Linked DNA regions of Alligator mississippiensis. The protein of the gene in region 1 purifies or fractionates together with the protein of each later gene. This does not show direct contact. Links are inferred from orthologs where the notes say so. Each region holds a gene or a part of one and is shown on either strand. Other genes may lie near its edges.

The links.
Region 2: the proteins of COPE (region 1) and COPZ1 purify together in Homo sapiens (affinity purification with mass spectrometry; 3 studies listed by BioGRID and IntAct, with this or other methods). This does not show direct contact. The link is inferred for Alligator mississippiensis from reciprocal best matches to the Homo sapiens genes COPE and COPZ1.
Region 3: the proteins of COPE (region 1) and COPB1 purify together in Homo sapiens (affinity purification with mass spectrometry; 6 studies listed by BioGRID and IntAct, with this or other methods). This does not show direct contact. The link is inferred for Alligator mississippiensis from reciprocal best matches to the Homo sapiens genes COPE and COPB1.
Region 4: the proteins of COPE (region 1) and SACM1L purify together in Homo sapiens (affinity purification with mass spectrometry; 4 studies listed by BioGRID and IntAct, with this or other methods). This does not show direct contact. The link is inferred for Alligator mississippiensis from reciprocal best matches to the Homo sapiens genes COPE and SACM1L.

What each region holds. Positions count from the first base shown.
Region 1 is NC_081839.1:1,337,390-1,344,735, reverse strand, and holds the start of COPE (coatomer subunit epsilon), read left to right. Parts: upstream 1-4,344; 5' UTR 4,345-4,359; coding exon 4,360-4,488; intron 4,489-4,708; coding exon 4,709-4,771; intron 4,772-6,390; coding exon 6,391-6,491; intron 6,492-7,346. Other genes in the region: probable ATP-dependent RNA helicase DDX49, read right to left, coding at 171-268, 810-886, 1,293-1,368, 2,013-2,153, 2,314-2,501, 2,689-2,810, 3,290-3,375, 3,841-3,964 and 1 more. UniProt on the Homo sapiens protein: The coatomer is a cytosolic protein complex that binds to dilysine motifs and reversibly associates with Golgi non-clathrin-coated vesicles, which further mediate biosynthetic protein transport from the ER, via the Golgi up to the trans Golgi network.
Region 2 is NC_081838.1:7,959,357-7,967,109, reverse strand, and holds the start of COPZ1 (coatomer subunit zeta-1), read left to right. Parts: upstream 1-4,752; 5' UTR 4,753-4,820; coding exon 4,821-4,838; intron 4,839-6,619; coding exon 6,620-6,688; intron 6,689-6,994; coding exon 6,995-7,076; intron 7,077-7,262; coding exon 7,263-7,354; intron 7,355-7,694; coding exon 7,695-7,750; intron 7,751-7,753. UniProt on the Homo sapiens protein: The coatomer is a cytosolic protein complex that binds to dilysine motifs and reversibly associates with Golgi non-clathrin-coated vesicles, which further mediate biosynthetic protein transport from the ER, via the Golgi up to the trans Golgi network.
Region 3 is NC_081825.1:195,520,851-195,527,677, forward strand, and holds the start of COPB1 (coatomer subunit beta), read left to right. Parts: upstream 1-3,821; 5' UTR 3,822-4,097; intron 4,098-6,827. UniProt on the Homo sapiens protein: The coatomer is a cytosolic protein complex that binds to dilysine motifs and reversibly associates with Golgi non-clathrin-coated vesicles, which further mediate biosynthetic protein transport from the ER, via the Golgi up to the trans Golgi network.
Region 4 is NC_081828.1:137,171,863-137,179,761, forward strand, and holds the start of SACM1L (phosphatidylinositol-3-phosphatase SAC1), read left to right. Parts: upstream 1-4,896; 5' UTR 4,897-4,997; coding exon 4,998-5,032; intron 5,033-7,899.

The DNA.
Region 1 (7,346 bases):
CACTGCTACGGCAGGAGGCCGGAAGCTGATCTGGCACCAAAAAGATTGCCCCGCAGCCACGAGGGAGCCTCCATAAACCCAACCGGGGAACGGTTCTTCTGTACACCCGACCTAGTTTCTGTGCAGAGCTGCCACTGCCTGTGAGCCTCTTGCGAGCTTCCCTCGCTCACCTGCTCGGGCTGTACGGCCCACACGGTGGATGTAGATCTTGGGCAGGCCTGGGGTGTTGTGGTTGATGACGACTTGCACAGTGGGAATATCCAGCCCCCTGGAGCACAAGCACAGGGGTGGTGTGGCAGCAGTTCAACACAAACACTCCCATTTCCTGTTCTCAGCTTTCACTGAGAGCCCTTGGAGACTCTGAGGCACTCACAGGCCTGCGGTTAGGAAGCAAACCGATTCTGGGCACTTACCCACCGCTTCCCACACGCCTCCAGCAACCACAAAATGGCACAGCCTGCCCCCTGCAACCTGCCTGGCACCCATTATGCTCCTCAGGTCCAGAAAGCAAACCAGCCCCTGCCACAAGCCAATCTGCCTCCCAGCAAACTGGCAGGCTTGAGTACTCCACAGCAGGAGCTGAGTGAAGGATCCAGCTGCCCCAGCTACATGAAGAGCTCCACAACATGCCCTGAACCTGGACTGTGCTACAATGGGGAGTTCTGCACTGGACAAGGAAGGGAGAGGCAGGACCCCAAAAAACTGTCCACTTGCCAACCCTGCCCCTACTCTCTACAGTGGACCAGCTGCCTTGAGTGGAAACTCACTCAAGACTTTCAGCATCAAGGAGAAGTTTCACCTCCTCTTACCTGGCAGCCACGTCTGTGGCGATGAGGATCTTAAAAACACTGGACTTGAACCTGGCTAAGGCTGCAAAGCGCTGCTTCTGCAAAGGGAAAAGGATCCAGGTTAGGAGTGCTGTAGCCTCAGGGGCTGTGGGTAGCTCTCTCCGGCCTCATGAAAAATAGCACCTGGCTACAAGCCCACATTGGCATGTCTGGAGCTAGGCTAGCAGAGGGCAGGTGATGGCTGAGGCACCTCAGCAGAGATGGGCTTCTGAGGCTAGCTCAGGTCTGTATGCCTTCTGCTTGGCTTGGCCCCTCCCATGAGAACCAAGAAGGGAAGGGACCAGGAGTCAAAAGCCAAAGAGCTCCCAAATCCTTTGGCTCAATAGATGAGTGAGGAAAAGCCGAAGCCCCCAGTCAGCAATTCAGCAGGCCTAGCACCCATCACGATGAAGGACAACAGCAGTCCCAGCGCTCCCCACAGCTCACCCCCACCAAGTCACTCACCTGCTTCATCATGGAATGCAAAGCCACCGACGGGAAGTTGAACTTCTTCAGCATCATGTTCAAGATCTGACAATCCCTGAAGGAGGAAGTATTTCCCCATTATATTCACAGCCCTCGTGGGAGTGGGTGAACCAGGGCACAACCAGGTAGTGTCCCGATCCTCTTGTTCTCCAAGCACCAAAGCAGTGCTTGACCAGCAGCACCTTGGCTGGGCGAGCAGGCAGGATGCCTGCTCCACGGTTAGCATGAACTCTCCTCCCGTGGACACTGGCTGTTCTTGGGGGTCAGCGAATGCTGGCCAGGGCCCTTGGGAAAGGTCAGCTTTTGGAAGAGCACTACAGGCTTTTCCAGTCCACCGAGACACGTGGATATGGAAGGATGGAAATTGGGATTAACTTCATGTCACACATTAAATCCCTTGCCGTTTCCTTCCCAGGGAAGAGGAGGAAGTGCTGCTTTCCCATCCCCTGCTGGCCAGGACAAAGGCAGGGCCCTGGAAGCAATTAGGCTAGGCCCCTCCATAGGGTTATATTTTTAGGTACTGCAAGGCCTGCCCTGCAGGGGCCTTCTCAGGAGGTAGGGAAGGACTTGCCTTAAATTCAACTTGGGCTAGAAAAGTGAATGCTTTTTCTGGCTTTGCTGATAACAAGAAGGAGGCTGGGGGATGAGCCCTAGCAGCCATAACATGAACTGGTGCACGGTGAGAGGCGCTGGACTCACTTGCAGGTACTGGTGAAGATCATAATGGACCAGTCCTCGTGCTCGTCCTGGAACGTCTGGATCAAATGGACCAGGTACGCGTCCTTGACTCTCTCTGGCACAAGCAGATAGCGCTGATCCAGCTCGTCTACTGTTCGCACTCTGTTTTGGGGGTGGGGAGAAAAGGCCCCACGGGCGTTATTTCGAGATGCCACAATGGGTCGAATTTGGGGCTGGAATGGCAGGGTGAAAAGAAGGGGCAACATCACAGGAGGGGGAAGCATGTGTAAACTGAACAAGAAGCAAAGCAGCAGAGACTTACTCTGCCGGAGATTCCCAGAAGAAGGGTTTGTTCATGGCAAGACTCTTCAGCTCATTAAGTGTCTCGGTCAGCGTGGCACTGAAGAGCAGCGTCTGCCTGTTTGCTGGGACTGCTCCCAGAATCACCTCGAGGTCCTTGGTGAAGTCAGTACAGCCCTGCTCCAGCAGCCGGTCAGCTTCGTCCAAAACCTTAGCCAAGGCAAACAAGGGTCAAGCCCAGCTGCGAAGAGCAGCACTGCGGGGCAGGAGGATCTGAGCTGAGCACAGGTCTGGGAGCCAGGACAGCCAGTTCTGACCTAGGGTAACGTGCCCAGGCACAGCAGGTCAAGCGGGAGAAGTTCTTGCAAGCAGGAAAGGAGCTGAACCACCGCCTTACCAAGAACTTGATCTTCTTGAGGCTGAAGGTGTTGGAGCTGCGGAGGTGATCGGCCAGCCGGCCGGGTGTTGCAATGACAACATGAGGCTTGCGGGAGAGCTCCAGCGCCTGGGCCACCATGTCTGAAACACAGCAAGGAAGCGTTTACGTTTAAAGCGTTTCCTTCGTTTCTAGCGCGACGGTGGGTCCCCTCAATGAGACATGAGCAGCCGTGCGCTGAACTTGGCTTGTGTGTAAAGAAATATTTTCAGTCAACAATAAATCACACAAACAAACTGTTTTGTTCAGACTGTTGTTTCAGTGACGAAGCAAACCAGCATCCAGATCCTAATCTGGATTAGTTCTCCCTTCTTGCTGTGGTTGTTGAAAAGGGATAGCCAGAAACCGGGCCTGGAAAACCAAGAGATGCCACGTTTTGGTGCTGAACGTGTGGTTTTACCAACATGGAGAATGCCACAGCTTCTGGACAAGCACAGATTCCCCCAAGTCGCTGTATGGTTTCAGCTCGCGGTTCCTTAAACGGCCCGGAAGCGAACCAGGCAGAGGCTCAGTTCTGCCTAACGGGCTAACCGAGTCCGGCTCGTAGCCAGCCCGCACCTACCCATTCCTCCGACAACGATGCAGTCCTTCAATCCAAGCGGCTTTCCCAGAACGCGGAACTGCTCGGCAATCTGGTAGGCCAGCTCCCTACGAGAGAGGACGAGGGAAAGCACGGAAAGGTTACGGGGCCCGTCTTCCTTACCCGCACCCAGGACCTCCAAGGACGGGGTCGCAGGGAAACCACGGCCGGAACCGGGAAGCTAAGACACAATAGATTCCCATCCCCCCCCCCCCTTTGTTCATAAAGTAATTTATCGCCGCGCAACGTCGACGAGGCCCAACACTCGGCAACGTTCAAAGCGAAACGGGATGCTCGGTTATCCCGTAACGCCAAAAACAAACCGGTTTGGGGAGGGAGGACGCTGGACTCGTGTGAGCCCTGAGTCTGATCGAGCACCGCTGAGCGCGACACGCCCCCGAGACATCAACGGATGCAAGCGTCCGCCCGCTCCCTTGCTCCTCCCGCCGGAGCAGGGAGGATGGGGCGGTTTGGGGCAAGGGGGCAGCATCCAGCCCCAAACCACTCCGAGCCCTGCCACCGAGCGCCCCTACCTGGTGGGCGTCAGCACCAGGCAGAAGATGCCGTAGGGGTCCTCCGAGAGCTTCTGCAGGACGGGCAGGACGAAGGCCGCCGTCTTGCCGCTGCCCGTCTTGGCGCAGCCCATGCAGTCGCGACCTGCGCGAGGGGACACGTGAAGCCAGGACCCGTCCAGGGACCGCTCCCCCCGCGCAGCCGCCCCCGGGAGCACTCACCCTGCAGGGCGGGCGGGATGCAGGCGGCCTGCACGGCGCTGGGGCGCACCATGCCCACGCGCCGCGCCTGCTCCGCCAGCCAGGCCGCCAGCCCCAGCGCGCCGAACGCGGCCATGCCCGCGCACAACCACCGCCCGCTTCCGGCGCACGCCGCGGACGTCACCACCCTCCCCGCCCCACTTCCGGCGCTCAGGAAGTGGCACTGCGCGCTGCCATTGGCTCGTTCCCTGTGAGGGGGGAAGACTACGGCTCCCGGCGTCCCCCGCGCGCGCGGCGGCGGCTGGGCGGCCGCTTCCGGAGACGTGTCAGGCCGGTGTCATGGCGGCGGGAGCGGCGGCGGCGGCCGGGGGGGGCTCGGCGGGGGACGCGGACGAGCTCTTCGACGTCAAGAACAGCTTCTACATCGGCGCCTTCCAGGCCGCCATCAACGAGGCGCAGCGCGTCAAGGTGCCCCCCTCCCCCCCCAGCCCCAGCGGGGAGGGGCTCAGTCCTGTCAGGCGCCCCTCCCTGCCCCCACACAGCCCCAGGGGGGAGGGGCTGAGCCTGTGAAGTGGCCCCTCCCCCCACACAGCCCCCCACCACCATGGGGGTCTGCACCCCCCCCCATGGCACTTTAGGGCCCCCCCCGCCCCGGCACTGAGGTGATTGTCGCTCCTGTCGCCCCCAGCTGTCCAGTCCGGAGCGCGAGGTGGAGCGGGACGTCTTCCTCTACCGCGCCTACATCGCCCAGGTGAGCGGGGGGGGTCGCAATTCCTGTGCCGGGGGGTGGGGGGGGCTCAATCCGACCTCGCCGGGCCTGCACCTCGCTTCACGCGCGAGCGGGGGGTCGCTCCGGTTGGAGTTGGGGGCGTCTGGTTTTGCCTGCCGAGTGCGGAGGGCACTGGGGGGCGTCGCTCCCCCGCGGGGGGGTCGTTGCCGTCCTCGGGAGCCCAAATACGCAGCCTGAGACAGACCCAGCGCCGCAGGCCCCTGGCCTGGATCCCCGCGGCAGCTCCGAGTCGTCTCCGTCGCACCTGTCCGGCCCGGTCGTCGAAACGGACGACGGCCGTTGCGGCTGCGCGCGCGTCGGAGATGGGAGAAGGAGGTCCCGAAGAGCCGGCGTTGTAGGACAGCGATCCCCCCGTTCGCCTGCCCTCGCTGTGCTTCTCCCCACGTGCGGCCCCCGCCTGCGCTTGCCGGGGTTTAGCTCCAAGGTGCAGCTGACCTTTTGTTACGTGGTTCGCGTCAACGGTTAGCATAAAATCAGCATTTTGCATTCTTATTAGAGACCCTTTTCTGGAAGTACCGGGGAACCTAATCGGGCTCGGTCTGCGCTGGGGCAGCGACGCTCGAAGTCAGGCAAAGAGCCGCAGCGGTGCAGGCACCTGAAGGTGTCAAAACCAGTCCTGTGTAAAAGAAAAAGTCAATGTTTTTAGTTAATGATGGATGGCGCTGGATAGTACATGCTGTATAATTCATGGCTGCAGGAAAGATCTGTCCAGTACACGCGGTAAAACACATAAATAAATCATGTTTTCTGTGAAGAGCGATAGGTGAGACATTGCAGGGCTTCTTGTGACTCAAGTGTCTCAGTCTGAGCCTAAGTGTGTAGGAATGACGGGGGGATGGGAACGACGACCAGCCTGTTCTAGGTGATTGAAATATTGGGGGCACAGGAAAAGCCTGAGTAGGGAAGAGTGTTTTGTAAAATTCATTGCTTAATCGTGTCAGGTTGCACTCGGGAACATACTGGTTAATAGCAACTTGTGCAGTGGTGGTGATCCTGTCTTTGCTCTACCTCCCTAGCCTGCCTTAGCATCTGAGCAAGTCAGAACACGAGACACAGATTAACCCATATTGTGTTGTAGTCAACCATGTCTTTTCCTTTGTTCTAAATCAGGGGTGTCAAACTCATCTGGCCCCATAGGCTGGATAACGAGTGTGGGCTAGCCTGGCCCCACACACCAGAGCCAGTCTGGTGTGCACTGCATGCCCTGGATCGGCCCTGTGCGCAGCATGCGCCAGCCCTGGTCTGGGGCCCGGGCATGAAGCATGCGCTCTGTGAGGTGCCCACACTGGACTGGACCCGTGCGCTAGCTCTATGTGGGGCCAGTTTGTGGACTAGATTGGCCCCCTGCACACTGTATGCAGCACATGTCAGCCCCAGCATGGGGTTCACACTGCATGCGGCATGTGGGGCTGGCACGGGGTGCCCACTGCATGCAGTGCCTGTGCAATAACGGTCTGACATGGGCATCATGTGGAGCATGCACCCTGGCACACTGGTTCAGCCTGAGGCCCATGGGCCATATCTTCAACACCTGTGTCCCGCATAACATTTTACAGACTCTTTCCCTTTCATCTCAACAGAGAAAATACGGTGTTGTGCTAGATGAAATCAGAGCCAATGCTTGCCCTGAACTCCAGGCAGTGAAAATGTTTGCAGAATATCTTTCAAGTGAGAGTCAGAGGTAAGTCAGGCACTGTTGCAGCCATCTGGTTTCTAGGGGAAGAACTAATTTCAATAATGGGAGCATAGCCCTGGTCACTGCTGTATGTGGCTCTGGTCCTGTAATGAAATATGGCTGGGTGCAATCCTTTTATGGCATGTAGCCTTGTTTGAAATTACGTAGGGTCATGGCCTGTGTTGATGCTCTTTTTCTAATGCTCCAAATTCAGCAGATCAGAATATCGTTGCCCTGAAACTGATTTATGCAGGATAAAAACAAGTATTGAAGTTTGTTGGTGTGTTGAACAATGTATTCCTTAGCATATTAACAAAAGATTGATGCGCACTTTTAACAATCCACAGCCAGGTATCCACTTGTGTTTTCGGTGGCAATGCACACTAAAATACTCTCAAACTTCAAGTCATAACAGCAGACTCGAGCAATTCTTGTTTCGGCAGTTCCTGCTGGTTGATGCAATTAGTTATCTGTCTGTCCTTCTAACTTCTGCTTGCTGAACTGAGATTTTAAAAGTGCACAGCTCAATTTAATTGGTATTAGAAGAAGACTATCTGCATGTCTGTCGCTACTTTTCAATAGCTGATTTCAGGCACTTCGGGTATATTGCTGAAAGCTTACTAATTTGAACTAGAACTGTTCAGCTTTGCTATATTGTTGGTCCTGTTTAGTAAAACTCCCTTGGTTTATTTTTGAGTGCTGGGGGCAGGAAAAACACTCCTCTTTCCTCACTGTTGGTTTACTTAGTCCAAATCATTTTAAAACGCTTAATTTAAAGAATCCCATGGAGTCTTTCTGCTGAGGTCATTGTTTCTGGCTTGTTTTGGCAAGTCAGTGACGTATTCCCTAACCCTTATTCTC
Region 2 (7,753 bases), on another chromosome or scaffold:
GCCTTTGCCAGCCTGGGTGCGTGTGCATGCGTGTGCATGCATGTGCATGAGCATGCACACGTATTGTGCCTATAAACAAGTGTGTGTGTGTGTGTGTGTGTGTGTGTGTGCAAACTCTGCCTGCCACAACCCCCCTCCCCTCCAGCAAGAGCCAACCCCTGATACCCCCAGAGTCGGTGGTGTGCAAGACCTGTGACCAGCACCCCCTCCCCCTGGCACACACGCACCTGCTGCCCCACGCCCCCACCCCTGCCCTGGACTCCTGGGTTCCCAGCACCCGGTGTCCCCCAGACATGCCTGGAGAGCCCCAGCCAGACCTCTCTGCACCCCGGGAGCTGAGGGGAGGGGGGCAGGGAATGGACCCAGGTGCCCGGGGGGTTGATCTGGGGCCACAACTGGAGGTGGGGGGCCTGGAGCAGCCCCTGCGCCCCGCCACCCAGCCCACGGCTCTCAGGTTCCCACACCTGCCACAGCATCGGGCAGAACAAAGTCCCCATTGAGAAGCCACAGGTCTTACCTGCTGGGGTCCCGGGGACGTGGGCACGAAGCCTGGGGGCTCAGGGCACCCCCATGGCGCAGGCGGCAGGGCCGTGGCCGTGGCAGCTGTGGCTCTGTGCCGGCCCCAGGCGGGCGGCGGTTACATAAGCCGGGGCCGCAGCCCGACGCCTCCCCTGCTTGTGGCCACACAGGCACCGGCAGCCACCCCCCTCCACCCTCCCGGCCCTACGGTGGAGGCCTCACAGCAGGGAAACGTGAGCCTGAGGGACACGCATGCCCATGCACATGACACATGATGGGCGACACACGCACGACACTTCCCCTGTGCACACACACACGGAGCACACAGTGCCCTGCGTGCACCCATGAACAGCAATGTGCGCTGCACTCGGTCAGACCCCCACAGACATGCGCACACCACACATGGGGCCACACACGTGTGCATAGGCACACAGCAACACGCACACGGGGACACTGCAACATGACGCACGGGGCCACGTGCACACGGAACAACACATGCAATGCACACTGAGGTATCTCCTTCACATGTACTCACACACATGCGTGTGCTTACTGACATGCTCTGAGCCCAGGGGGGTCAGGCCCAACACACAACGTACGTGGATGTGCACGCACGCCTGGTGCATAGCCACGCACGCCTGCTCTGGAAGGCATGTGTGACGGCACAACACAGACTCACACAAGGAGCCCCCGACAATATGGGGACGTGTGTGTGACAAGGGGACATCCGCAGAAGCGCTGCACCAATGTGCAACACACACACGCACACAGACAGGGCTCCACGCAGCGATCCACAGACACTAAAGCAGTGACATGTGTGCACACACACGTGCAAACATGCACACACATGGCACCAAGCTGGCTCCGAGACTCCTGGGCCAACTGTAGCACAAAGCTAAGTGTGTCTCCCCCCCGCCCATTGCCCCCCAGGGACTCCCCAGATCACACGTGTGTGTGTGCACATGTGTACACTGAACAGGCTGCTTGTGTGCGCCCCGGGGGCAGCATCTGGGGGTGGGGGGGTATAAGGCAGGCACTGGAGACTGCGCCGTTTATGGGAGGATCCCAAATTGGCCCCACCCCCACTGTGGGAGCCAGCCAACGAGCAGGGAAACTGAGGCATGGAGAGGGGACAGGCCAGGCCCAGGTCACGGCAGGGGACCAAGAAAGAAAACCCAGGCACCCCGGCTCCCAGCCCTACCCAGGACACCCTGCTCGCCTTTCAGAGCTGAATGCAGAACCCAGGAGTCGAGGACGGTGGTGGCCCAGTCCTGGCCCAGCCTGCTCCGTGCCTCAGTTTCTCCATGGAGGGGGGAAGGGTGGAGGCTGGCAGGGTCATGGCTTGGCACTGCCCCTCCAGCCACCCCCTGGCCCAGATTCTGGGCCTCTTGGTGCTCATGAGCATGGGCACTTGCATGCCCAGCACACTGCAGAGCTGGGGTGGAAGCCAGGCGTCCTGGCTTTGAAGAAGGGACCCCGAAGCTGGCCAGGAGGAGACCTGGGGCAGGTGGGGCCACGCCACGGCCCTTTCCCCACTCCTGCCAGCAGCAACAAAAGCCCCTTTATGGGCCTTAAAGGTACAGGCCCAGCCCCGAGTTGTGCCAGGAACACAAGCTGGAAGCAGGGTGGGCACATGCCTATGACACATCACACATGGGGAACCTGGCCTGGAGCACACCAGGAACGCCAGGGCCGCACACACCTGTAACATGCCACTCCCAGGTTACTGGCTCCTCGTGCACCCACAGCACACGCGACACGGGAGTGCAGCTCAGAACGTACGTGGGCACGTCAGGGCCGCACTCGTCTGCAACACACACCACACACTTAGCATGTGCGTGTCCCACGCTCCGCCTGTCTCCCGCCGGGCAAACCGGGGGTAAATCTGTGCCAGTCAACTGCAGGGGGGCACAAAACACACTAGTGGCACGTGGCCACATGTCCGCAGCTCTGGCTACGGGACCACACTGAGCTGCAACAAGACCCAGCCCCGTGCTCTGACTTATGCTGGCACTGAGAGCACATACGTATTGCATGCGCAGGCCACGCATGTGGCAGGCGACACGCGTGGGCACGGGCTCTCTTGTGCCCCCGGGGCTCCTGGGCCAGGCTCCAGCTGGTCGCCCCCCCGCCCCTTGCCCCTCGGCCGTTACTGCGGTTTCCCTCCCACCTCCGGCGTCTGGTGCCAGATGGACCATTTATAACCAGCACCCAGCGCCCCCCCGCCCGCCTGGCCATGCTGGGCCCTGGCAGGGCTGGAGGCAGGGGCTGAGCTGGGCCCCCGGCATTGCGAGCGCCCCTGGTGTTGTGTGTGGCGAAGCAGCCACCTGCCCACCTCAGAGGTGGCTGCGTTCCCAGGCCTGGGAGGCACCGATCCTGGCAGAGCTGCTCACCAGGGCACGGTGCGCGGAGGGCAGCTAGGCTGAGAGCAGAGCCCACTGTCCCGGAGCCAGGCTGTTACGGGGGGGAAGGAGGGGCTGGGCAGGCGGGGGCCGCCCGCTTATCAGCACCACGCAGCGGATCCGCCCAGCAGCTTCCTCTGCAACCGGCGGGGCCTCGGCCGCTTCCCCCGGCCCCAGCACTTCCCTGCCGAGGAACCCAGGCGTCCGGGCCCCCCCGCTCCTAACCCACTCAACCCCACTCCCTGCCCTGAGCTGGGGAAAGAAGCCAGCCCCACTGGGATAGGACCCAGGTGTCCTCCACCAAGTCCCTGCTCTACCCACTGGTCCCAGCTGCCCCCCCCAGACTCCGAGTTTCCCCCCTGGCTCGCGCCCACCCCCACAGGGTCCGGGGAGTCACACACGCGCGTGTGCACATGTGCTAGTGCCAGGTGGGGGGGCTCCAAGTGCCTCCAGATGCCTGGCAGCAGGCAGCAGATGGCAGCTCTGCCCAGGGGAGTGGGGTCACAGGGGGGCTGTTGCCCATCTACCCCCCATCCTGCCCCCTTGACTATGGCTCAGCCCAGGACGGGGCCAGGGTTGTGCAATGGGACATCCCTCCCCCCCCCCCCCCCCCGCATTGTGCAATGCAGAGGACTCGCCCCTGGAAGCCCCTCCTCCCCCGCCGCCCTGCCCCCATCCTGCCCCCACCTCGGCCTGGTGCAGCAACTTCCTCTTTCCAGGAATGTGGGTCTGCCCACGGGCATCTGCTGGCAGGCGCTGGGGCGGGCTCCGGGCAGGGGCTGGGGGGCTCTGGACAGTGTGGCCAGACCCGCCTGCCTGACCCACAAGTCGGAGGGCTGGGCTGCCCGGAGGGTGGGGGAGGGTGCAGGCCTGTGTGCATGCCCCCCTGTGCCCACGCGTGTCTCTGCGGGTGTATAACCAAGCGTGTGGGAGGGCACCTGTGTGCATGCGTATGGCAGCGCTCATGGATGCCTGTGTTTGCATGCAGGCAGCCCCCACCTCTTTGCCAGCAGCAGGAGCTGATCTGCCCATAACATGGGGGGGCAGCGGGTTGGCAGGCGTGTGAGCGGGCACGCATGTCTGAGTCTGGCATGAGTGTACATGTTGCACGTGCATGCCCATGCACAGGCGTGCACGTGCCAGGGGAGGAAAGCGGGCAGCCCGGCCCCTCCACAAGCCACAGGTGCTGGTTTGGGGGGAACATGAGTACCCGGGACAGGACACGCGTGTGCATGGCGTGTGCACGGGGTTGGGACACCTAGGTCCTGGGTCCTTCCCTGGCCCCAGCAGGGCGGGGGCAGCAGGGGACACGTCTATGCCAGAGGCAGGTCCCCCCGGATCCCAAGTCCTGAGAAGTGCTGAGTCCAGAGGTCAAGGGTCATAGGTCAACATCCCACCCCAGGATCATGACCCCAGAAAGGGCCACCAGTCAACTGCACCCCACGCTGGGGTCGTGACTCGGAGGTCAAAGGTCATAGGCCAACTCCAGCCGACCCCCGGGTCACAACCCCAATGGACCCGGCTACAGCCCACAGCCCTACTCCAGGCCAGCCGCACTTCCGGTCACGTGACGCGAGTCCTCCGCCAATCCCAGCCCAGGTCTTGCAAAGAAGATTATGTCATCGCTTCCCCAGTCGTCATAGGAACTGTCCCGCCCCTCGCGGGGAGGAGCGAGGCCCACGAGCGACAGTGGTGTCGCCCAATCCTCGTTGGGGTGGAGGGGTGGGGTCCGCCCATTCATTGAAGCGCAGCTCCCGGTTGGCTAGAAGGAGGAAGTGGGGTAGCCAGTGAACGGGGAGCGTGCGGACGGGGGCGGGGCGTAGAGCCGGGATTGGCAGGCGAGCAGCCAATGGCTTGCGGCCTGTGCTCCGGCTCCACGTCGGCAGCGGGGAGCGCAAGATGGAGGCGTTGGTGCTGGTAGGAGCGGGCTCGGCCGGGCCCTACCACCGCCGCGGGGGGGGCGGGCCGTACCATTGGGGCCGGGGTGGGCCTGCAGGACCTTACCACTGGGGGCAGGGAGGGGGGCAGTGGGCCTTGCCGTGGGGGAAAGCGGGGCTTGGGCCCTACAATTAGGGGCCAAGGAGGGGAGGATTGGGCCCTACCATTATGGGACATGGGGTGGGCTACCATTGGGGAGCAGGGAGGGGTAGCTGGGCCCTACCATTGGGAGGCAGGGGGGTCTGGGCTCTACTATTAGGGGATGGGGGGGTCTAGGCTCTACCATTGGGGGATGGGGGGAGCTGGGCCCTACCATTGTGGGGTAGAGGGATCTGGGTCCTATGGGGGGGGTAGTGCTGGGCCCTACCATTAGGAGCCAGGAGTAGGGCTGGGCCCTACCATTGGTGGATGGGGGGCTCTAAGCCCTACCATTGAAGGGGCAGGGGGGCTGGGCCCTACCATTGGGGGATGGGGGGGGGAGCTGGGCCCTACCATGGGGGGTCTGGGTCCTACCATTGGAGACGAGGTGGGGGCTGGGCCCTACCTTTAGGATACACTTAGTGGGACCCTGGTGCCGGGCGAGGCCCATGGGCATACCCCCCACCCCTATGTCAGTGCCCAGCGTAGCAAAGGCTGGGCCAGGGGGGGCGGGAGGGAGGGCAGGTTGCCGTTCACTCTGAATCCTACTGACACCTCGTGCCCTGCCGCACTGCTGACGGCTGCAGCTGCTCCTGGGCCCCGTCTCCCTCCCCCTGCAACCCGAATGGCCCGGAGCAAGCCCCGCCGGCTGCTCTGGGGTCCTGCCGGCGCCTGGTGCTGCACGGGGCGCTGTGTGCTGCAGAGCGGGCGGCCTGCTCCCGGTGCCCGGCTGCAGACGGACGGGCTGTCGGGGGTAGGGCTGGGGGTCCGAGCAGGGTGGGGGCCGGGGGGCTGCCCCGGGGGCGGCTGGTGGCCTTTGAGGCGGAGTTCTGTCATACACTCGGACTGTGCTACCTGGGGTCAGTGCATCACAGAACTTTGTCTCGAGCGCCCGGATCCGTCGGTGCCCCCGGGACCCCTGGCCCAGCCCCGGCGCCCACTGGTAGTCACCCCCGGCCCACCCTGCCCCAGGGGCCAGCACTTCAGTACACCCCCCCCCCGTGTGTGTGTTTTGCCTGGAGACCTGAGCAATGCGTGCAAGGGGGGGTTGATATTAAAGGGGACTGGGAGGGGGTGGGCAGGGGGTGACACTGCCCAGTGCAGGGCTTGGCATGGACCCACTGGCACTTGCCTCGTGTCACCCTCTGACAGCTGGTGCAGGGGTGGGGTCTGTGAAAGCCACCAGCATGGTGGGGGGGACAAATCCCCATGGGTCCCTATCCGTGCTGGGGCCAGCCAGGCATCCCATCAGGCTTTGCAGGGGGGCAGTGGGCTGGGCTGGGGGCAGCACCCACTGGCACCTCCCAGGCATCAGGTGTTGTGCCAAGCTCCATTGGGGAAGGGGGCTGGCAGCATGGGGCACCTACCCCAAGGGCTTGGTGGTGGGTGGAGCCCGGGCTTGGTTGCCTCTCGGCTCATAAGGGGGGGGGCACGTGGGACAGGTGGGTGAGAGCTGCCCTGGTGGCATCGGTGCCCTCTGTCTCTCCCCAGCGTGACGTGGCTGGTATGAGCCCCCCCGAGCCTAGTGCCGGGGCCTGGACCTGCCTGGGCAGCCCCAAGGAGATGGGGGGCACCCGCTGGGTGGGGGCAGGGCTGGCACTGATGGTGCCATGTCCCCACAGGACCCGTCGTTGTACACGGTGAAGGCCATCCTCATCCTGGACAACGACGGCGACCGGCTCTTTGCCAAGGTGAGCATGGGGCGGCTGTGCCAGGGACTGAGGGATGGTGCCCAAGGGTGGTGGAGGCTAGGGGCGCCTGTGCCGGGGAGGGACACGGGCTGCACCTAGGACCTGGCTCCTTTGCAGAGCAGAGGCTGCTGTGCCCACTTGGCGGAGGGAAGTTAAGTGCCCACGGCCTCCGCGGCAGCCCCAGCAATAGCGGGTGCTCCCGGCCCCTGGGCTCCGGCCCAAGGGCAGGTGCGGGGTGCTCCAGGGGGCCGGGCTGTGCTGGGTGGGTGCAGTGCCAGGCTGACGCCGGTGCCCCCTCTTCCCCAGTACTACGATGACACCTACCCCAGCGTCAAGGAGCAGAAGGCCTTTGAGAAGAACATCTTCAACAAGACCCACCGGACGGACAGTACGGCCTGGTGGGGGGGCACTGCCTCAAGGGTGGGATTGGGGCACTGGAGGGCACTGCCAAGCCTGGTGCCTGGCAGCAGAGGGGGTTGGGGGTGACCGGGGCCCCTGGCCTGGGCCCCACCCCCCAGGCCCAGTGCAGGGTGTCTACAAGCGGCATCTGACCCCGTTTTACCAACCCCCCCAGGCGAGATTGCGCTGCTCGAGGGCCTCACCGTGGTCTACAAGAGCAGCATAGACCTCTACTTCTATGTCATTGGCAGCTCCCACGAAAACGAGGTGAGGGCAGGGGGCGGGGCCTGGGGGCGGAGCTGGGCCAGGCAGGGGTGGGGCCTGGGGTGGGCATAGTACAGGGGCAACTATGTGGGGGACATGGAGGGGGGTCGGTCCTGGTGCTGCCCTGGTATTGGGCGTTGGACAGAGGAGGGCATCAGGGCTGGGGGGGCAACACGGGCCGGGTCTGGGTGTGGGGGCTGAGTGCGGGGCCCAACTTGGCCTGGCCTGGGGGTGGTTTCTGGGCAGGCTGGGGCGTTGTGGGGGGGCGAGCCCGCAGTCAGATGGGAGAGAGGGGGGTGTCCAGACAGTGCTGCCATGTGACCCATGTGTCTTGTGCCCACAGCTGATGCTCATGGCTGTACTGACCTGCCTCTTCGACTCGCTCAGCCAGATGCTGAGGTG
Region 3 (6,827 bases), on another chromosome or scaffold:
CTTCAGTTCTGTGTGCTATGTATGTTGCACTGACTAAAGAGTAGAGTTGAACTAGGAGTGGGACAAAATCTGTCTCAGTCACCCCAAAGAAATAATTCAGTGGATATGCTCTATTGGTTGCAGAATACTGCACAATTTAAAAAAGGCAACAATTTTGGGATAGTGTGAAGGAAGAATGACTGGCATTGGGAAGCTTGTCCAAAGCTCTCTCAACCAAGCAGTTGGGCCAATAAAAGATACCACCCCTTAGGAATGCTTGCTTCTTGCACAGTTCCTGGGCCATCACAACTGCAACTTCACAGTGATGTTAGCGTAAGAAGCAAGACGCTGACTCCAAATGGTGCGGCATGGTGAAGAGTCTTCACGTTTTTAGAGTGGGCACCCCCACACCCAACACAAACTGAAAGCCTTGAGAAGCAACTGTGCTGGATTACCCAGACGGTCAGCAGGCCTCCAGGCATTCTAGCAGGTAGCGCTGTAGATCACAGGTGGGCACAATGCACAATACCATCACCCTGTTAACCTGTCCCCATACAGAAGATAGTTTCCAATGTCAGAATGTCTGAAAGCATGTACCAAGTTAAACATCTCTTTTGTGCCCTGTTGCTTTTGTAGCAACGAGGAACAGTGAAACTACTTTTAAAACTCAGAAAAGGAGTGAGAAATACACAATTCAGCTTACATTGATTGATGATTATTCCAGGCAGTTTCCCATCCTAAAACACATCCTAAGGCCCATGGCATACAATATGCTTGAAATGTGACTGACCAGTTAATCACATCTCAAGTTGTTACCCACTTTAATGCAATTAATGGTGTGATGAAACAAGGAATAAACCACAAAGTTTCTACATAAAAAATGTAAAAACTGGTGGTGTGCCTCCACAGTGGGGTGCCCAGATCAACTGACAGCTCACAACCCCAGGAGTACATGATGCAACCCCGTGGCTGGGAGCTGGGATCAGCTGACAGCTCACAACCCAGTGCATGATGCGCTCCTATAGCTGGGAGCCCCATCAGCTGCTACCAGCACAGGAACTAGCTACTTGCCAGAGCAGGAGGAGCCTGAGATACCTGCTGCACCTGCAAAAAAGCATGAAAGGGTCTGATTCTGGATCCCACAATCATACCTGCCATGCCTGTGTGGCCAGAGCCCAAGAGTCAAATTCACTATCATCACACTTGGTGGGAAGCTGCCTGGGGCAGATGTGAACTGCAGGTTACCTATAAAAACCTTTTTAAAATGCTTATGGTTACAAACACAATTAAAATCAGGACACGCACATGCTACTGAACTACATGACTGGGCCAAGCATAGAAAATGAGGGTTGGAAGGGACCTCGGGATCATCTAGTCTAGTGTTTCTCAAGCCGTGGGTCACAAGAATATATGAAAGGCTTGCATACAAACTATGAAAATAGATCAACAAACTTTCATAGATTCTAGAGTTGGAAGGGACCCAATGGATCATTGTGTCCGGCCCCCTACCCCTGGCAGGAAAGAGGACCAAGGTCAGACAACCCCAGCCAGGTGATTGTCAAGCCTCCTCTTGAAGCCCTCCAAGTTAGGTGACAGCACCACCTCTCTTGGAAGCCCATTCCAGACTCCGGCCACCCTTATTGTAAAAAATGTCTTCCTAATGTCTAACCTAAATCTACTCTCCACTAGTTTGCACCCATTGGGGCGCTCTGGTAAACAGCGCATCCCCAATTCCCTGTCTTCCCCTGATAAATTTATAGGCAGCCACAAGGTCACCCCTCAGCTGTCTTTTGTATAGGCTGAAGAGATCCATCTCTCTCAACCTCTCCTCGTAGGGTCTTTCACAGAGACCATTAATCATGCGGGTGGCCCTCCTCTGAACCCTTTCCAGATCCTCCGTATCCTTCTTGAAGTGTGGTGCCCAAAACTGGACACAGTACTCCAACTGCAGCCTGACTAATGCTGCATAGAGGGGAAGCATAACCTCCCTCTATCTGTTGGTCATGCATCTGCTAATACACAACAAGGTGCGACTGGCTTTGTTGATGACCTCATTGCACTGCCAGCTTATGTTCATCTTATGTTCAACTATGACTCCAAGACCTCTATCAGCCTCTGAGCTGCTAAGGAGGACATCCCCCAACCTGTAGGTGTGCTGGGGATTCCTCCTTCCTAGGTGGAGTACCTTACATTTATCTTTGTTGAATTGCATCCTATTACGTTCAGCCCATTGAACTAAACTGTCCAGGTCAGCCTGTATCTGCTCCCTGCCCTCCGGTGTATTAACTTTACCACACAATTTGGTATCATCTGTGAACTCGGAAAGGGTGCTCAACACGCTCTCATCCAAATCACTGGTGAAGATATTAAATAATACTGGCCCAAGGACTGAACCCTGTGGGACCCCACTACCCACCTCCTTCCAGGTTTAAATGACCTGTCGACCACCACTCTTTGGGTGCAGTCCCTAAACCAGTTGGCCACCCATCTGACTGTGTAGGCATCCACTCCACAACCCGTTAGCTTCCCTATAAGAACAGGATGCGACACTGTGTCAAAGGCCTTCCTAAAGTCCAGGTAGATGACATCGGCCTCTGCTCCTGTGTCAAGGTAGCATGTGACCTGGTTATAAAAGGCTATAAGGTTCATCAGGCAGGATCTACCTGTGATGAACCCATGCTGGTTTCCTTTCAGCATTGTTTCTCCTGCTGGGCTTTCACAAATATGCTCTTTGATGATTTTTTCTAGTATTTTCCCCAAGGATAGAGGTAAGACTGACAGGCCTAAAGTTACCCAGCTCCTCCCTTCTCCCCTTCTTACAAATGGGCACCACGTTGGCCTTTTTCCAGTCCTCAGGGACCTGTCTGGAGCACTATGAGAGCTCAAAGAGCTGTGCCAGCAGCTCAGCAATGACACTGTTGGGGCTTGAACTTTAAACATGGATTCTCTTTTAAGGGAGAAAAATGTGGGAAACTGTGGCTTTTCCCTTGCAGACTGGCAGCGTTCCGGCCTGCCGCTCAGCGTTGGTCCTCCCATGCCCCACACACTGTGGGGCTGGGGGCAGTGGGTTGCAAGTGAGGGGCACTGGGCCGGGACTGGCCATCTATGAGTCCTGGTTCAAAAAAGGTTGAGAACCAGTGATAGTCCAAGCCTCTGCTCCAAGCAGGACATCCCCGGATTAGATCATCCCACCCAAGGCTTTGTCTAGCCAGGTCTTAGCAACCTCCAAGGATGGAGCTTCCACCAGCTCTCTGGGTAACCTGGTCCAGTGTTTTACTACCCTCCTCCTGAGAAAATTCTTCCTAATATGTAACCTAGACTTCCCTTGTTGCAACTGGAGACCATTGCTCCTTGTTCTGTCATCGCCCACCACTAAAAACAGTCCAGCTCCCTCCTCTTTGGAACCACCCTTCAGGTAGCTGAAGGCTGCTATTAAATCCCCCCTCAGTCTCCTCTTCTGCAGACTAAATGAGCCCGGCTCCCTCAGCCTCTCCTCAATACAAGGGAGCGCTCTCACACATCCCTGCCTCTCCCAAGCTGCCCCTACAGCCCCCGGCTGCCTGCTTCCCTGCCCTCTTTCCAGCCTCATGGAGCCACCCCGCATGTGCCCCGAGTGTCCTTCCAGAGGCAGAGCTCTCTCCCCAGCAGCCACCACGCAGGAGCCGCGGTGGGGGGTGGGGCGCAGGGCCTGAGCCGCCGGGCCCCGCGCTCCCCCTCCCACCCCACGCGAGGCGGCTCCGAGCAAAGACGTATATGCGCGGAACCTTGAGCCGACAGGAGACGCGCTTTTTCAACACGCAGAGCGCACGCGCCGTGCTCCCTCTTCTCCCTTTCCCCCCGCAGCGTCTGTGGGGCTCAGAACGAATGTACAGAGTGCATGCGTTATGTTCTCACTCCCTCTTTCCCCACCCGCAAGGCGTATGCATCCTCCCCCACCCCTCCCTTCTTCTCTCTTTCTCACTCCCTCCCCGTGTGCGAGGCGGAGCCGTTCTGTGCGCCGCTCGGAGGAGGCGTGTCCTGTGAGGGCCGCCGTAGGCTCGATGTGGCCCGCCCGGGGAAGGCCGTTCCACGTCAGCCGGAGCGGGCAGCGGGGCCGGGCCGGAGTCCCGCCGCGGGAGGTAGGTACCGCGCCGCAGGGACCGGGCCGGGCCGGGCCGGGCCACAGCGGCCGCCGCGTGGGGCGGCCGGGGCAGGGGTGATCTCGGCCGCCTGGGTCCCCTGGGGACTGTGGGGGCAAACGGGAGACAGCCGAGGTGTCCCGTCAGAGCCGCGGCCTGCAGGCACGCCCGACCCGCCGCGGCCTGCGGGGCTGCTTTGCAACGGGAACACCGCTGTGTTAATTTTCTGTCGGCAACAAAGAGCCGGGGAGCTCAAGGGGGCGAAAGAGTTTGGGAAACGCCGATGCAGGGTTTGAGCCACAGTGATTTGATTTTTTCCACAGATTGACCCCGGGGGTTGTACGTTTTCATAAACGTATTGTCACTTAGCAAGGGGCTGAATTGTAGAACAGTCGAGTATCTTCGGGTAGATGCGATATCTCTTGTTAGACCACCTGAATAGTTGGGAAAATGATTCTTGGCAACAGCTCATGAAAGGGGTGGAGAAAAGGGGTGTTTTTTGCTTTTTTGCTTTGTTTAAACTGGTATCAACACAAACTTTATAATGAGTTGTGTGTCCTGTGACGAAGGATGTTTATTTTGTGTCTTCCACCTGGTGGTGCAGCTCTGTAGTTCTGGGGGTAACATTTTTGGACGTGTGATATAGTTGTGTAGTGACAGGCATGTGTAAAATTAAAGAGTTCCCCATCTATGCAGGGGACTTGTTTTCAGTTTTGAAGCCAGGTAAAGGAAGAAGAATTGTTGCCCATTCACCGTTAACAGTAGAAACTGTAAGGAAATGGTTTTGTTAAATGGTAGGAGCGTAGTTCAAATAGTAGTGGTAACTCGGAAAGATGGTAACAAAGGATCTTATCAAAACTAGTGGAGGGTGCCCTAAGGCTTGCGTGACTCTCGGAGATTTAAGGATTGGAACCAGCAGCAAGACCGTTTTAAAGGCCACACAAATTATGAACGCTGCTTGCAGAACACATGAAGCTTCTCGTCAATGTGAGCACTGTACTTCCAGTTTCAAAAGTTGTAAAGTTTAAGGTGCATCCAGCAGAAATGTGGTATGTGGCACGCATCTGTGGCATCACACACCGCATGTTTAGGTATTCCCTGGACTCCTGCCTTGCAGTGTGGTGGGTTTTGTTTGACCCCAGGAGATCCTGGGGTCAAAAGAACCCACGCCAAAAAAAAGCAGGGTGGTACATGTGACAGCAGTGTGTGCCGCCCAAAACCTGATCAGCTGGAGCCACACGGGTTACTGGCCAAGCTCCCTGCTGCAGAAGTGCTGCGGTCGGAGATCCTTGATGACCCCAGGTAGGGCTGCTGGGGCCAGGATAGTTGCTGGCCCCAGCCTCTTCTACTTCATCTAGGATAACCTACTGCACACCAGAGCATGCATGGCATGGGCGTTCCTCAGGGACAAGTAGCCACAGCACAAGCTGTGCCACTGCTACTTGTCCTTGGGGAAACACACGTCTGGACACGGCCTAAGAGTTGAGCTCCTCGGGGCATGGGGTAATGCAGATGAATGACATATGCTTCTGTTGCAGATTTGGGAAGCTGTTCACACCTAATGCAGTTCAGAACCTTAAGTTCCAAGCGGAAGTAACCAAAGAAGGTCCCTTTTTCACATGTCTCTTCACCACCAAATAGTTGCATAGCAGGTTCTGATGGTTCTGTACATAGTTCTGAAAGTTAGTAGCAAATGGAGTCCAGGACCTCTTGGAGTAATGCTTGCTGCAGGTTAACTTTGGGATTGTTTTTAAAGGAGCATGGTTTGATGTGACTAGTTTCAAGCACTTATTAAAATCAACATCTTGGACATTTTATTTAAGTTAATACATGATAGGATTGGCCTAGTGGAGGGCCAGGCAGACTGCCTCCCTTGGAAAGAATGCCTTTGCTGGAGCAAACAACAGATAGTTTCAGCCTTCTCCTCTTACCATTTCCTTGCCTTCCCATGTAGAAATTGAAGATTATGAAACAGAAAACAGTATAAAGATTTTGTTCTTTGGGGAAGTGCATTAGTTCTTGCCATCTCTTAGGGAGTCTGGTCAAGAAAGGGCTTTGACTGGGAGCATACTCTGGTTCAGAGTCTTTCACATCTCACTCTTGGTGAGGGAAGCCATTTACTGCTTCCTCTCCAATTCTGTGTCCCAGGTGTGATCTGTTAAGGGAGTGCTTTTTGGTGCCCTGTATAACTTGGAAACACTGTGCCCAGGATTACTAGGTTCTGTGGACCTTTGCCTGTAAAAATGGTGGGAGGAAACTAGTTGAAATCCAAGATAAGTTAATAAAACTTAAGATATATCTACTCTGGTCTCTTCTTGTACATCTCCATATTAGAGATGAAGAAGTTAGATGCAGAAACTTAAAGCATGGTCTATGGTGGTGACTTGGGATGGAGGGTTCATACAACTGGCGAGGTGACTGAATTGTCATTTCTGAAAATGTGAAAGCAGTTGGCCTTTTTTGGTGACCTGTTATTGGACCAATGGGAGAAATGTTAGAGAAGCTATTGGGCCCGAAGTGCCCTTTCACAGGTCATTCTGTGACCAACTACAATGTATACCATTGGTCCAATAAACGAGATCACCAAAACACCTGTTGCTTCCATATTTCCTGTGTCATCGTGGCTACAATAGCACTCCAACCTACTATTACTAAAAATGGTCATAAGTAAATTGCAATTTTTTAAAGATGACATGAGTGTTTAAAACTTTTTTTTTAAGTGTAACTTTA
Region 4 (7,899 bases), on another chromosome or scaffold:
AAACCTCTCAGGATGGAGCTTCCACCACCTGTCTGGGTACTACCCTCCTAGTGAGAAAATTCTTCCTAATATGTAATGTAAACCTTCTTTGCTGCAACTTGAGACCACCGCTCCTTGTTCCATCATCTGCCACCGCTGAGAACAGTCTAGCTCCATCCTCTGTGGAACCACCATTCAGGGAGTTGAAGGCTGCTATTAAATCACCTCTCAGCCTTATGTTCTCTAGACTAAATAAGCCCAGTTCCCTTGGTTTTTCTTCATAAATCATGCCCCCCAGCCCCCACACCATTTTCATTGCCCTCAGCTGGACTCCAGTTGTGGGCTCACCAGTACTGAATAAAGAGGAATAATCACTTCCCTTGTGTCACAACCCAAAGTTGTGATTTTTTTTTTGTTTGTGTGCGTGCTTCGGCACCGCTAAATTATTTCCTGCCAAATTTGTCGCTTTCTTTGCACGGTAGAGCTCTCTGCTGCTAGAGAGCTCTGGTGCAACGGGGGATTTCCCGCCAAATTACAGCTTCTTTGCAGTGTGCATCTCTTTTGCATCGTAGTGATGCACGCTGTAAAGAAGTTCCCGCCATTTGTATTAGGGTCTACGCCATGTTATTGGCCGACTCCTAATTTAGGCACACGTGGCGGCTAGCGATTGGCTTGCTAGCCGTACAAAAGGCTTGTGTGCTTTCCACCCAAGCGGGAGGAGGGAGGAAGAGAGAGAGATTCTGTGTGAAGATCTCCAAGCGCTGTGGACCCTCGCGGACCCAATGCACCTCCCCTAAGCAGGCAAGAGAAGCAATAGAACCGAGCCTACGGAGCTTTCGCTTCTCACTTCTCCCCGTCACCGAGCGCAATCCCTGGATGTATCCCTTTCCTATAATTTCGGACCCCGCGGAGCCTAGCAAACTCTGGGGAAAACGTATCGGACCCGCGGAGCCTGAATAACTCTGGGGAAACTTATCGAACCCAACTTAACCGGACCCACGGAGCCTAGCAAACTCCGTGGGAGCAATAATTTTGTCAGAGTCCTCCAACGAGGGTTCAAGTGGGAGCTGTGCCTGGAAACTTATCCAGCCTACACCAATACCATCTTCGGGTGTAAGTAAACAATCTTTTCAATCAACCGTTACGCCTCCGTGACTAATTCTAACTCGCGTGCACAAGACCGTCCCGCGGTTTCTCCCACCCCGTGTGTCCGGGCTGACGGCCACAGCCCGCGTGCACCGGAGACGGGTTCGGTACAACCCCGGTTCGCCCCCAGCTTGCCCATGGCGGCCAGAATGGGATCGGAATCACCGCCGCGCATGGTGACGAGGGAGGGCTTGGGGCCCGGCCCGCACACCTTGAACTGCTGGTAGCACGCCTACCAATGCAGTCCAGTATGCGGTTAGCCATCTTGGCAACAAGTGTGCACTTTTGGCTCATATTTAGCTTATTGTCCACTGTAACCCCCAGGTCCTTTTCTGCAGAGCTGCTGCCCAGCCAGTCAGCCCTCAGCCTGTCAGCGCATGGGATTGTTCCATCCTAAGTGGAGGACTTTGCACTTCTTATTGAACCTCATGAGAGGTCTTCTGGTCTAATCTTCCAATTTGTCACGGTCTCTCTGAATCCTAGTCTTACCCCTGAGTATCTACTCCCCCCAGCTCGGTGTCATCCGTAAACTTACTGAGAGTGCACTCTATGCCATCTTCCAGGTCATTGACGAACATATTAAACAAAGCCAGCCCCAAAACCAACCCCCGGGACACTCCATTTGCTACCAGCTGCCAACTAGACATTGATTACTACCCTCTGAACCCCATGAGCCAGCCAGTTTTCTATCCACCTTACAGTCCATTCATCCATCCCATACTTCCTTAGCTTACCTGCAAGAATGTTGTGGGAGACTGTATCAAAAGCCTTGCTAAAAAATCAAGGTATATAATAACATTCCCCGATCTCCCCACATCCACAGAGCCAGTAATCTCATAGAAGACAGTCGTGTTGATCAGGCATGACTTGCCCTTGGTGAGTCTATGCTGACTTCCTAATCACCTTCTCCTCCAATGCTTAGAAATGGATTCCTTGAGGATCTGCTCCATGGTTTTTCCAGGGACTGAGATGTGGCTGACTGGTCTGTAGTCTCCTGAATCCTCCTTTTTCCCTTTCTTAAACAGGGGCAGCATGCCCTTTTCCAATCATGTGGGACCTCTCCTGCTCACCGTGAGTTTTCAAAGATGATGATCAATGGCTCTGCAATCACATTCTCCTTCCCCACAAGTTTCTCCTCCGGCTGGATTAGGAGTCAATAACAGGAAGTCTTATTACTGTGAGTGTAGACTGAAAATTAGTGAGGATTTCTGGTACTGAGGCAGCAGCTTGGGAACCACTATAGGCCACAATAATACTACCCCTCTCTAATACCCTGGCCTACCCTTAAATCCTTTCAGGACAGGCAAACTTCAGACATTATGTTGAACAACTAGGCAGGTTACTGGTTACATGTCAACGTATTTTTAATGTAACTAAAGTAGGCCTATTGTCTAGTTTAAATTGGCAGATAGTAAAGCAATTGTGGCACAAGTTAGTCCCAGTTCTGCTGTGCATTTCCTTTGTGATGCTGGGCATCCTATCCATACCCTGATTTTTTTTCAAAGGGATTGATACCAGTAAACCAGACCATCAACCAGTCGGTGTCCCAATTTCCCCACCTGCAAAAATGGGGAAAACGTTATCTTCCCTCAAAACAAAAATTGGCCTGAGACTAGACAGCTAGTTCAGACTAGATGAACCTGTTGCCCGAATTGGAATTCATTATTGTAGAGTCTTCCCAACAAACAATTACATGCAGCCTAGGAAGAACTGACAATTAAAATAAAGCAGGTCAAGTTAAAGCCACTCTGAAGGTCAGTATCATCTGTTATTAAATGTTCAAGTTCCATTTCCTCAGCCAATTCAAATATTTTTAAATGCTGCCCCTTAATTTCCTGCTCCCCGCCTCCACCCAAAGTCCTTGTAAAGATGCAAAACTAGCTGAAAATACAAGAGTTGCAATTCCAGTTCAGAAAACAGGTTCATCTAGTCTGGGATCCAGGCTGCTGTAATGGTCAGTGCCTGAAGCCTCAGTCAAGCCTGAAAACATCGCCTAATGCACTTGGTTGTTAGTGCAAAGATGTTCTTGGTCACAGTAGAGAATCCTTCCTCGGAGCAGATAACACCCTGGATCAGGGGCCTTGGTACCCTTGTGTTGTTGTGAAAAGCAGTTACATGCCAGGGTCCCAATTAAGTGCCTGTGTGCCTTTCCACTCTGACAAATGAAGGAAAGTCAGCCAGAAGGATCTGGGCCCCCTGGAGGCTGCCTTCCCTGTTCTATCTCAAAAAACAGGGTTGGGGTGGGAGAAGCCAAATCGATGGGGTTGGGCAGCACAGCGAGATGGGGACATGCCAGGGATCTGCCAGCTGCTCCTCCCTACCCCTTTCCCGACCCGTGAGGCCTACAGGAGCCCGTTGGAGGAGCTGAAGCACACCCCAAAGGAACATGGGCTGGGGATCCACTTTGTCCCACACAAACTAGGGGTGGCATCTCTGCTAAGAGGGAAATGAGAGGGGAAAGAATGGTTCAACAGCCAAACAGGGCAGTGTCACCTCATGACGCCACAATGTCCCATCCAGTGGGGCAGATATAACTGCCCACCAGCGGCGACACATAGGGGGAGGATGGGGGTGCATGTGCACCCCCTGAGAGCACTGGTGCGCTTGGGTGACGGGCAACAGGTGATCATGCTGGTGCCCCCCCCTCGAGAGCACCAGCCAGGGAGTGGGGGTGCCAGGAGAAGCACCCCTGGCACTTCCAGGTCAGCATGATCAGCCACAGGGGGAATCTTCCCTTGGTTGGTGCGATTGGCTGAGGGGGGCCCCCCGATTGCTGACTGGCTGCTGGGGGGCAAGTGCCACCCCAACTCACGAGGCACCAGTCGCTCTTGCTGCCCATAGAGGGAGATCATGGTGTAGGGCAGACACCAGGTCCCACCAGCCACATAGGCCACGATGGGGTCTTAATGACGCAGTTTAGCCATGACGCGCAGAAATTACAGCACCACCAGAGGAGCCGCATTTGCAGCATGGGGCACGGTGCAGGGAGGCCGGTGCCAGGTTGCGCCTGCCTGGGGATTGGGGTTATCATTTTAGGACAGGCAGGAGCAAGAGCAGCGGGGGTGCTACTGTGGTGGGCAAGAGCAGGGGTCACTGGACTGGTGTGGAGGGAGGCAGGGCTGGGGTGGCATGGAGCCTGGCCCAGGTGTGGGGGCATGGTGACGTGGGCAGGATGGGGCCAAGGGGCACAGTGGGCCAGAGCAAGCATGAAGGGCACGTAGGTGTGCTGTGGGCAGTGGGGCACGGCACAAGGAAGCCCTGATGGGATGGATGCATTTCATGGGGAAAATAAAAGAGGGGGGGAAGACCCGTATGCGCATGAAGGGCCGCCTGAGAGCAACAGAGCCCGTTTGGCAGCCGGGGAGAAAAGAGGAGCTCGAGCCAGCCAGGAGTCGAACCTAGAATCTTCTGATCCGTAGTCAGACGCGTTATCCATTGCGCCACTGGCCCGCCCTAAGCACAGCTTTGCCGCGCGCTCTCTTCAACCTACGCCCCGCCCGCCCAGTGCCTGCGGCAAGGGGTGGCTTCGTGGGCGGGAACACGCCGGGAGAGACCGCCAATCGCAACCCGCGCCGCCGAGGTGTCCCCGCCCACTCCCAGCCCCTGCGTAGGCGGAGCCACAAAGCTGGAGCGGGCACCGCCCCCCGCGCGCGAGCCGGTCGTGCGGCCCTCTGCTGATGCGCTCGCGGCCGGGTGGGCGGGCTACAGCCACGGGCCCAGCCAATGGCAGCGGTGCTAGACCTTCAGGGCCCACCCCCCGCCGCCATTGCCCCTATCTCCTTCCGCGGTTGTCCGGCTAGATTTGTCTCGCGCGGGCGCTTGTTGTTGAGGCCGGGACGCGGCAAGCGGGGCCGGCGGTGGCGGGGGGTGCCATGGCAGCGGCGGCGGCCTACGGGAGTCTGAAGCTGTGAGTGCCGGGCCGGGCGGTTCCCTCCCCTCGCGCCCGCTGCGGGTGGGCGATGTCGAGCGGTGGGTGCCCGGGGCGGGGCGGGGCGGCGACAGCCCCGGGGCGAGAGGCCCCGTGTCCGCCCCGCCCCTTCCCCCTCTTTCCTGCGACGTGTGTCGAGGTCCGCGCGCCTCCCCGGAGCCGAGGGGGTGGCTGCGGCCAGGGCCGGGCTCTCCCTGGGCTGCGCTGATCCTCCTGCTGGGACCAAAGCCGGAGGCTCCTGGCTCGAGGGTCTGGCCCCTGCGCTCGGGGCCAGGCCAACTCCCGGATTTGGGGTCAGGGAGGGATTTTTACCTCATGGTCAGACTGGCCCAGGCTGGGGGCTGTTTGCTCTGTAGCGGGTGTGGGGCCTGCACCCGTGGTCTCCTCAGCATGTGCCCGCAGCCTTTCTAGAAGCAGGAGGTGGGCTGCCGGGTTTCCCTGCTTGACTTGTGGCAGGTGAGGGGGCTGGGGTTGTGTCCGAGTCATAGAGGATGAGGGTTGGAAAGGGTCTCAGGAGGTCACATCTAGTCCAGGCCCTGCTCAGAGCAGGATCAACCAGCCGCAACTAGATCCTCCCAGCTAAAGCTTTGTTTAGCTGAGTCTTAAACACCTCCAAGGGTGGAGAGTGCGCCACCTCGCTGGGTAACCTGTTCCATTGCTTCGCCACCATCTTCATGAGACATTCTGCCTAATACCTAATGTAAACGTCTCTTGCTGCAACATGAGACCGTTGCTCCTTGCTCTGTCATCTTTCCCCACTGAGAACAGTCCAGCTCCATCCTCTTTCAACCCCCACTTTAGGTAATTAAAGGCTGCTACCAAATCCCCCCTCAGTCTTGTCTTCTCCAGACTAAAATAAGCCCAGTTCCCTTAGCCTCTCCTCAGAAGTCATGTCCCCCAGCCTCCAAACCTTTTATTGTGTTGGGTTAGGATTGACAGTAGTCTTAGGTAGAGTTTAGATTATGGTTTTATGGGACAGTTTGAATAGGGATGATCCTGCCCCAGGCAGGGGGTTGGACTACATGACCCCTGGAGGTCCCTTCCAGCCCTAGTCCTCTCTGACTCTGAGTTGGGGTACTTTCAAGGCCACCCACAGCCTGTCCAAAATCTCACCTTTAAGATGCTACGCTGGTTAGCACTATGGATGAAAGGGACTTGGGGGTCATGATTGACCACAAGATGAATATGAGCCTTCAATGTGATACTGCGGCTAGTATAGTAAAGCGAGCAAAATGCTGGCTTGCATCCATAGATGCTTCTCAGGCAAATCCCAGGACGTCATTCTCCCGTTGTACTTGGCCTTGGTGAGGCCACAGCTGGAGTACCGCATCCAGTTTTGGGCTCCACAATTCAAAAAGGATGTGGAGAAGCTTGAGAGAGTCCAGAGGAGAGCCCACGCTCATGATCAGAGGTCAGGAAAACAGACCTTATGACAAGAGGCTGAGAGCTATGGGGCTCCTTAGCATAGGCTTAGGGGTGATCTGATGGCCACCTGTAAGTGTATCAGGGTGTTCACCAGGATCTGGGGGAATGATTATTCACCAGAGCGCCCCAAGGGATGACCAGGTCGAACGGTTATAAACTCCTGCAAGACTGTTTCAGGCTGGACATAAGGAAGAATTTCTTCGCTATCAGAGCCCCCAAGGTCTGGAATAGCCTGCCACCGGAGGTGGTTCAAGCACCTGCATTGAACGCCTTCAAGAGAAATTTGGATGCTTATCTTGCTGGGATCCTATGACCCCAGCTGACTTCCTGCCACTGGGGCGGGGGGCTGGACTCGATCTTCCGAGGTCCATTTCAGCTCTAATGTCTATGAAATCTATGAAAGGGTTGCTTTTTCTACTGTCTGAATTGTTTCCATCTGATCAGGCTGGACTTTCCCCTGTATAGGCTGAAAAAAGCTGCCTTTCATTGTAAGGAAGGAGTTTCATTATTGTTCTTCTAAGACAGTAGTTATGTAACTATTTGGCAGACAGCAAATGCCTCACCCTTCAGTGCTGACCTCAGAGACCCATAATGGTCAGTATATTTCTTCCAGCATTGGGATAGCTTAGCTTATTTAGCAACTAAGAAGGCAAGTCTAAGAGGCCAACACAAGGAGGAAAGAAAGTAGCCTAGATATTGTGGCAAAATATTGTACAAATAAATTGTACAGATATTTAGCTGAAAGTTGGTGCAGTAAGATTTATGCAGTTAACCCTTGGAAAGGGAATAATATGAGAGGAGGAATTAAGTTCAGGTAAATCCTTCTGATGTGCAAGCAGACAGGCAGGGCTTTGTAAGGCTTGTTAATGGTACACAGACCACGGGGGACTTTATCAATAGTTATGCTTCCTAAGTAGTTTAAATATTTTTAACAGCATGGCTAATATGATAGTGATTCTCTACATTTTGTACTTCAGATACTCTTTGGAAAATGTCAGCTCACTTTCATTCATTTTTTTTATTTTTTTTTGGCTATGGAAAAATAGCCATTTTTCTGTTGCAAAGAACTGACTGCAACAGGTCAGAATAGTTAAGACTTTGGATTCCTATTGGAAATCTGTGGGTTTATCTTGTAAATTGTTTGCATGCCTAATAGTGCTAACATTATGTTGTGACACCCTTGAAAGGATCTTGGGAAGGTGCTGAGCAACCTTGGTTGAGAATCACTGATTTACTGAATAACTTCCATGGTTGTCGTTCACTGTCTGTAAGTATATTCTCCATGAAATGATTCTTTCTTCACCCCCCCCTACTGTAAAGGGTTGTGAAATGGACCAGAGTCTTGTTAACGGCCTGTAGTAGCTAAAAATTAGCCAGCAGCCGGCTTCAATGTTAGCTGGTTATGATATATAGAGAAGAGG